Linked DNA regions of Macaca fascicularis. The main gene of each other region encodes a partner of the protein of the gene in region 2 in a complex. Links are inferred from orthologs where the notes say so. Each region holds a gene or a part of one and is shown on either strand. Other genes may lie near its edges. The genes, in order: DCP1A and PAK1.

Region 1 (4,328 bases), on a different chromosome or scaffold from region 2:
GAACCTGGTTAAGATTTCACAGCTAGGGAAAGATGAAAACTTGAAGGGGACTAGCAGGAAGGTTCCAAAGACAAATGTACAACAGAATTGAACCGTTTGACATTGTTCACCATTAAACTGTTAAAAACAAATACACATATTTTAAAAACTTACCTTCGATATACAAATAAGGTCCCTTCTATATCAGTTTTCTCCTATGAAAGACAATGAGTCCATTAGTTTTTTTTCCCCATAATCAGACCCCAAACAGTCCCAATGGAGAAGTAATGCTTCACGTTTAAGATCAAATTGTTTCATTTCATTTATTATAAAATTAACCACTTTGGAACAGATAAAGTCTCCCTCTCATTCCACAAATTGTGGTTACCATTTCTAATGTATGCTTTCAGTGCTACTGATGCATACATAAGCATACGCAATGTTTAATCCAGCAACATATCTGTATCTGCAGCATTTTTCTTTTTTAATTAGTAAAGGAGAAAATCATAGAATAAACCTTCACTTTTTATAGCTAAAATGTTTTAGCCAGATTTCTTAACTTCAAGGCTAAGGTCCTGTATACTGCAATTTTTTCTCTTTTAAAGTTTATCCAAGTTAATTTTAAAAAAGGAAAGGAATGAAATTTTTTTACAGGATACTTTGTTTCATCACTGGGGAGTTTTCGTACATTTTCACAACTAGTAAATTTTGTGGTTAAGAATTCCTACCAAACAAAACCAGCTTGTTATTTTTAGAACTTGAAGAATCATGAATACTGAAAGTATACCCTGCCTCACAGTAATTATTACAGGCCTTTACCATAGGTCATTTTCTGTGACAAGAGTATTTAGGTTTTAAACACAGTTCAGTGTTTTTTAAAAAATAAATAAGCTTATTAGTCTGCAATTTACAGCCTACAATGGACCTAAATATTTTACTGTAATCAACACATTATTAACATTTTAAATGTTGGTCATATATTGAATGTGCTGGGATTAAAAAATTTAGAAAATTGATCATCTTGATTTCTTCCAGAAGTACTACCCTAGCTTAAATATCATTATTTTCCTTCCTAAGGATTCAGAGGCTTTTTCTTACCTTTAAAACGTTAGGTTATTACTATAAGAAATTGGTAATCAACTGTCTTACAGTAAAAGAAAACTTGCCCACCAGAAAACATCATGTAAAGTTACAACTCACTGTAAAAATAACAACAAAGAGAGAAAAGATTTTTGTTATGCTCTACGTGCCAGGATCCAAATAAATGGTAGCAGCTTATTTTTCAATTCAGGTTATTATAGCTTGTATTTCTTATTTAAAACAGAACTCCCCAATGTAAAATTTTAAAATATTGAAAGCCTTTGTGAAAAACTAGAAAAACTCTTTAGTAAAAAGTCCTAGCCCCAAGTCTTCACCCTTGGTCTGCAATCCATATTTCACAAATTTACATATATGCCAAGAAAAGAAAAAAGATTCATAAAATTTCAAACTAAGGCAATGTCTAAAATAGCTACATTTAAAAAACAATCTACAATTTTATTCCTTGTGGCTTCCCATACCTCCTTCTCTTCCAGGAGGCAAAGATAAACAAAGTGATTATAAAAACTCTCTTCATCTGAATTAACTGTTCATAAATGCCAAATGATTTTCGATAAATTACTAATAAAAATAATCTACGCATCTGTATTATAGGGTAAACGACATACTACAGTCATCTTCCAGAGTTGTTAGTTTAAGGATTTCACATCTTATTGAAATGAGAACTCCAGTCATTGGTGAATTCAATCCAACAAACATTTACATACTATTTTCTAAGTGTAAAGCCTGTAACCGAATGAGTTAATTAGGAAGGGTCAATTACAAGAAAGTGGGAAATTATGCTAGTTGTTTTTAAACAACTAACAAAGCTTCAAGCAGGGGCTAACAAGAATCAGTGAACAGACTGAATGTAACTTTTCGGACCCTCTCCAGTGCACGAAAGCCAGAAAGTACTGAGTCTGAGGGGAACATTCAGAGATGACATCACCAGCATCATAGGTGGAACAAAACACATTTACAGGGTCTCTCTTGTTTGTACAAAGGTCTTCGGGGATCCAGTGAACATGGAAGCCCTTTTCCTAAGTGCCTTGAAATCTTTTCCGAAACTGTGTAGTTCGATTAAAGCCAGACCCACCGCACTCCCCCTTCCAAGAATCGAAACTAATTGGATTTTAAGCTTTAAATCCAAATGACCTCTGCGAAAGGGGCTCTCATTTACGTCTGCCGGGGGAGAGAAGGAGTGTTTATTTTATAGACAATGTACATGTAATTTATCTAATAATCCGCAAAGCCTCAAACACAAGCTTTCAGGCACTCTTTTGACCCCACCGGTCTCATAACTCCCAATGTATCTGCAAAGAAGGCAGGTCGCCCACGTCCCCAGACCCGACGCCAAGGGACTGATCCTGCTCCAATCCTCCCCTCCACTGGCTTTTTCTTGGGATGTCTCGAGCCACTTCTCTCACTCCTATCCCCCAATCTCAGGTGGACCCGACACCCCTCAGGCTCTGGCTCGGCTCTTCGCCAGTCCCTGGCCCCGTCTTCACCTCCCTGGCCTCTTGCTGTGTCCCCCACCCCACAGCAACCCGCGCGGCCCCTTTAAGAGACCGCAGCGGCCGGGCGGCCGTCCTCAGAGCCAGGCGGCACTCACCCACTGGTTGGCCTTGGGGCAGAAGGTGTACAGAGCAACCTGGCCCGTGAGGTCTGCGATGCTGGTGATGTAAGGGTCGTGTTGCTTCAGGGCCGCCAGGCTCATCTCCTGCCCAGCTCGACTCAGCGCCTCCATCTTGAATCCCGGAACCTAGCCCCTCTGGCGGGGGCGGAGTCGCGGACAGGAAAGTGCCATCGAGGCAAGGTTCCCCCATCTGCGTCAGTCCCATCAACTTCCGCCTCTACGTGGGCCTCGCGGCATGGCGGTACGTTAGCCATTCTGGTCCGCCAAGCGCACGCACCGGGCGCCGGGTTCCGGCGTTGTCAGGGTCCACTGCCCTACGACGTGGGGCGGTGTCCACGGCTGCGCAGTGGAGCTTGCAGGCTGGCGTCCGGCGCTTCCCTTCCCTGAGCTAAAACGACTAGGTCCTGGGATCTAATCTCTAGCTAGCTTGCCGAGCTCTTTCCAGGCAAAGGCTGGAGACCGCCGAAGTTCCGGCTTCGCGGTTCGCTGTCTGGCAGGGCCCGGGGCCACAGAAGGAAAACACCTCTGTGGAATGTGGAAATGCAGAACTCTACTGGGCCCGTTTAGAAAGCACAGAAAAGCATGGAAGAAAGGGAGAGGCGAGAAGCCTAGAAAATTACCCTAGATCTTAGGTATGGATATATCGACCTAAAAGAAAGAAGATGGGGCAAAGTTAATGCAAGCAGAGAGTTTATTTGGGCCAAGCTTGAGGATTGCAACCCAGGAGCATAGATTCAAGTTACCCTGAATATACACTGATTAGCAGAAGGTACAAGTGGATTTTTTTTTCTTTTTCTGTATTTCTGTCCTTTTTTTTTTTTTTTTTTTTTTGAGAGGGAGTTTCGCTCTTATCGCCCAGGCTGGAGTGCAGTGGCGCGATCTCGACTCACTGCAACCTCCGCCTCGAAGATTCAAGCGATTCTCCTGTCTCAGCGTCCCGAGTAGCTGGGATTACAGGGGCACGCCACCATGCCCTGATAATTTTTGTTTTTAGTAGAGACGGGATTTCGCCATGTTGGCCAGGCTAGTCTCGAATTCCTGACCTCAGGTGATCCACCCGCCTTGGCCTTCCAAAGTGCTGAGATTACGGGCTTGAGCCACCGCGCCTGGCCCTTTTCTTTGTTACTTTTTGAAACGGAGTCTTGCTCTGTCGCGCAGGCAGGAGTGCAGTGGCGCAATCTCAAGCTCACTACAACTTCTGCCTCCAGGTTTCAAGCGATTCTCCTGCCTCAGCCTCCCATTTAGCTGGAATTACAGGCGCCCGCCACCACACCTGGCTAATTTTTTCTTTCCTTTTTTTTTTTTTTTTTTTTAGTAGAAATGGGGTTTCATGACGTTGGCCAGGCAGGTCTTGAACTCCTGACCTCAGGTGATCCGCCCGCTTCAGCCTCCCAAAGTGCTCTTTTCTTTTTTTGAAATGGAGTTTTGCTCTGTCACCCAGACTGGAGTGCAGTGGCGCGATCTCAGCTCACTGCAATCTCTGCCTCCCGGGTTTAAGCGATTCTCTTGCGTCAGCCTCCTGAGTAGCTGGGATTACAGGCGCCCGCCACCACGCCCAGCTAATTTTTGTATTTTTTTTAGTAGAGATGAGGTTTCACCACATTGGCCAGGCTGATTTTGAACTCCTGACCTCAGG
Region 2 (3,815 bases):
GCTGCTTTATGCTCTAGGATGCAAAGTAGCAGCTGTGTATATATACTGGAAAGAGTATGACCTAAGGATCAGGCTGAACATTTAAAGGCCATGAGACTATGTGCAACTTCCCTATCTGTAAAGTAAGGATGATGATAATGCCCATCTCACATATCTGTAAAAATAAGATAGTGTATTTGAAAGTACTTTGTAAACTTACGAAATATGTTACAGACCTAAGGGTTTATTATTATTATTATTATTATTATTTTTTTTTTTTGAGACAGAGTCTCGCTCTGTCGCCCAGGCTGGAGTGTAGTGGTAAGATCTTGGCTCACTGTAACCTCCAGGCTTCAAGCGATTCTCCTGCCTCAGCCTCGCAAGTAGCTGGGATTACAGGTGCCCACCACTACACTCGGCTACTTTTTGTATTTTTAGTAGAGACAGGGTTTCACCATGTTGGCCAGGCTGGTCTCGAACTCCTAGACTCAAGTGATCCGCCTGCCTCAACCTCCCAAAGTACTGGGATTACAGATGTGAGCCACTATGCCCGGCTTTATTATTATTCTTGCTTACACATCTGAAGGGTTTATTATCCATTTAGCCTGTTGAAACATCTGCCCAGCTACTGGCAGAAATTATTCCTGGTGCCTTCACCTCAGTCATCCAAGAACTGATCTCTTCTAGCAGGAAAGGAATATTAAATATAAGTGAAAACTGTTGCCACCTTGGTCCCCTAAATGAAGCATCTCCTGGGAAAGGTAAAGAAAAACACAGTAAGACCAAATCTTTACAATCAGTCAGCACTTAATTCAAAGAGTACTTACATAAGCACTAATTTAATGGCCACAATTAACTCTGGGCAAGAATTATCATCCTCACTTCACAAATAAGGTACAGAAACATAAAAAGATATGTCTAGGGCCGGGCGTGGTGGCTCACTCCTGTAATCCCAGCACTTTGGGAGGCTGAGGTGGGTGGATCACCTGAGGTCAGAAGTTCGAGACCATCAAGACCAACCTGATCAATATGGCGAAATCTGGTCTCTACTAAAAGTACAAAACTTAGCTGGGCATGGTGGAAGATGCCTGTAATCCCAGCTACTCAGGAGGCTGAGGCAGGATAATCGCTTGAGCCTGGAAGGTGGAAGTTGCAGTGAGCTGAAATCACACCATTGCACTCTAGCCTGGGTGACAGAGTGAGACTCTGTCTCAAAAAAAAAATATGTGTGTGTGTGTGTGTGTGTCTAGGATCACTCTGTCTTGTTTCCAACATATCCCAGCAATTATTATCTTCAAATCTCTGCAAGGCCATTCTAAGGCAGGGAAGAATATGTTGCATGTGGAGTCAGAGGCAAAGCTGGGACCAAAGAATAGAAACTACAGAAGGTAGTTTCAGTTTGGTGCACTGAAGCAATTTCCAATAATCAGAGATATCCAAGGATGACATGAGCATGTAGATGACCACCTACCAGCAACAGTGCACAGGGAACTCCTGCACTAGATGGGAGGTGGGAATAAATGAGAAAATAAAAGCAATCAGAATAAATTTCACATTTGCCCACACAAAGATTACCAACCTATTTGCATCTGTGTTGATATGCTCTGTTACAAGGGATAAATTGTCCATGCTAATCTAATGTCCTTTACTTCAGTACTTGATCGAACCCCTCTCATCGACTTAAGGATATCACTTCTATGTTGTCACTTCCTTTTTGTACATGACCATTTTCCTCCTCTCCACTAAATCATTCCCATTAGCACACAGACATCTTTTAGAAAAACCCTCCCTTGACTCCATTTTAAGAGAGTGTTCCATTTTTGTTACCCTTCCCAGCAAAATTCCTTTAAGAGAAAAAAAACCTGTTTATACATGCCATCTCAACGTCCTCTTCTTCCACTTTCATGAATTTAATTAGACTTTCATCCCCATCTCTCTACTGACAACTGATTGTTAAGGTCATTAAGAACCTCTACATTGGCAAATCCAATGTTCATTTCTCAGTTTCATCTTAACCTATCAATCACATTTGACACATAATCTACCCTCCTCCTCCTTCAGGAAGCACACTGTTCTATTCATCTCCAGGACACTTCACCTCCAAGATACTTCTCTGTTCTCTCACACTAGAAAGGCCATTCCTTGGTCTACTTTGCTAGTTCCTCCAACCTGTAAACAGTGGAATAACCTAGAGCTCAGTACTCAAATCTCTTTTCTTTAACAGTACTCATTCTCTAGGTGAGTGATCTCATCTACCTCTGATTTTAAATACCAACTATATATTATCTACTAATAAATTTATGATTATTGTCCTGACCCCTCACCCTTGAACTCTAGACTCTTAAGCCAAACTCTACTCCCAGCTCCACTTAAATGTCTAATTAACACTTCAAATCAGCACATTCAAAACCAACTCTTAATTACCCAACTTAAGTATGGTCTTCACCATTTCAACAGATGGCAACTGAATTTTTTCAGCAATTCAGACCAAAAATCGTGTAGTAATTGCTGATTCCTCTTTCTCTAATATTCAGTTCATCCTGTCAGCTAGTCCTTCAAGACATTTCCTGAGTCTGAGCACTTCTCACTTCCACTCCTACCAAGACACCACCACTCTGAACTATTACAACAGTCTCTCGCAATCTATTTTCCATAAAAGCGGCCAAAATGATCTGTTTAAAACATAAATCAGATCACATTACTCCTCAGCTCAAAACCCTCTAATGACTTCCCAACTCTGCAGAATAAAATAACTTACGAGAGAGAACTTCCCTCTCTGCTCTAAAATAGCACACCTCTTCCTCCATTACTCTCTTAACTTCCTTACTTTGCTTTTTCTCACAGCATTTACCATCTGTTACTACATATTAATTTATTTTATTTTCATTAGAATAGTTTCTTGCACTTGAAAGGGACTCAGATAGTTGTTGAATAAATGAATGAGTGACTTCTAATATTCCTTTTCTTTGACCATTTATATTTTAAGTTCAACAGTGACTAGTTGTATCCAGAAAAGGGATCTCCAGGTTGAAAGCCATAGAGAATAGCCTGGATTCTTATTTCCTGGGACTAGAGACAACAGCCCAAATAAATTGAAATAGGAATGGTAACACTCACTCTCAGAGGGTTTTCATTGAGGTATGGAGGCTCCCCTTCAATCATTTCGATGGCCATGATGCCCAGGGACCAGATGTCAACCTTGGGCCCATAGGCCTTTCGTGTCACAACCTCTGGTGCCATCCAGTATGGGGTTCCCACCATGGTGCTCCGTTTGCTCTGCTCTGGGGTTATCTGTGCACAGAATCCAAAATCAGCTAGAAAAGAAAAATAAGAGAAAGAACATACATTTAGGATATACACTCACTTCAGTAAGTGTTGACTGTGTGCCTACACGTAGGTGACAAGATCTGCCTGGCTTCCAGCTCTGCTATCCTTTGTCTCTCCAAAGTCACTTGACTGCCACCTTCATGTCTAGCTCCTAGCCTATTTCCTATTGAACCCTGAAGAGAAATAGGAGGAATATAAGAAACACCATCTCTGGCCTCCTATCTCTCCTTAAACCAGGGGACTTAGTGTTAAAGTCCAAGCTGCCCATTTTGGTCTCGATTGCTTGTCCCAGTTTTGCTTTGTTCTTGAAAAACCATTCTCATATTCTCAAATATGGCAACGAGGTCCTTGCCTTATTTCTTGGGCACGAGTCCTTGATTTAAACCCCAGTCACCTATGACTAAGCATGGCCCTGTTTTTATGCCCCAGGCCCAGGGCTGCTAGCAGTCCTTCCATAAACTGCCCATCCACCCATAACATAGCCTGTTTTTCTGGTCTACTGGTCTTTA

Evidence for each region.
Region 1: PAK1 (region 2) and DCP1A share a complex: the UniProt entries of both Homo sapiens proteins name them as parts of the cytoplasmic complex. The link is inferred for Macaca fascicularis from reciprocal best matches to the Homo sapiens genes PAK1 and DCP1A.

Annotation. Positions count from the first base shown.
Region 1 is NC_088376.1:116,474,498-116,478,825, forward strand, and holds the start of DCP1A (mRNA-decapping enzyme 1A), read right to left. Parts: upstream 2,830-4,328; 5' UTR 2,804-2,829; coding exon 2,669-2,803; intron 195-2,668; coding exon 154-194; intron 1-153. UniProt on the Homo sapiens protein: Necessary for the degradation of mRNAs, both in normal mRNA turnover and in nonsense-mediated mRNA decay. Removes the 7-methyl guanine cap structure from mRNA molecules, yielding a 5'-phosphorylated mRNA fragment and 7m-GDP.
Region 2 is NC_088388.1:76,217,484-76,221,298, forward strand, and holds part of PAK1 (serine/threonine-protein kinase PAK 1), read right to left. Parts: intron 3,294-3,815; coding exon 3,097-3,293; intron 1-3,096. UniProt on the Homo sapiens protein: Protein kinase involved in intracellular signaling pathways downstream of integrins and receptor-type kinases that plays an important role in cytoskeleton dynamics, in cell adhesion, migration, proliferation, apoptosis, mitosis, and in vesicle-mediated transport processes.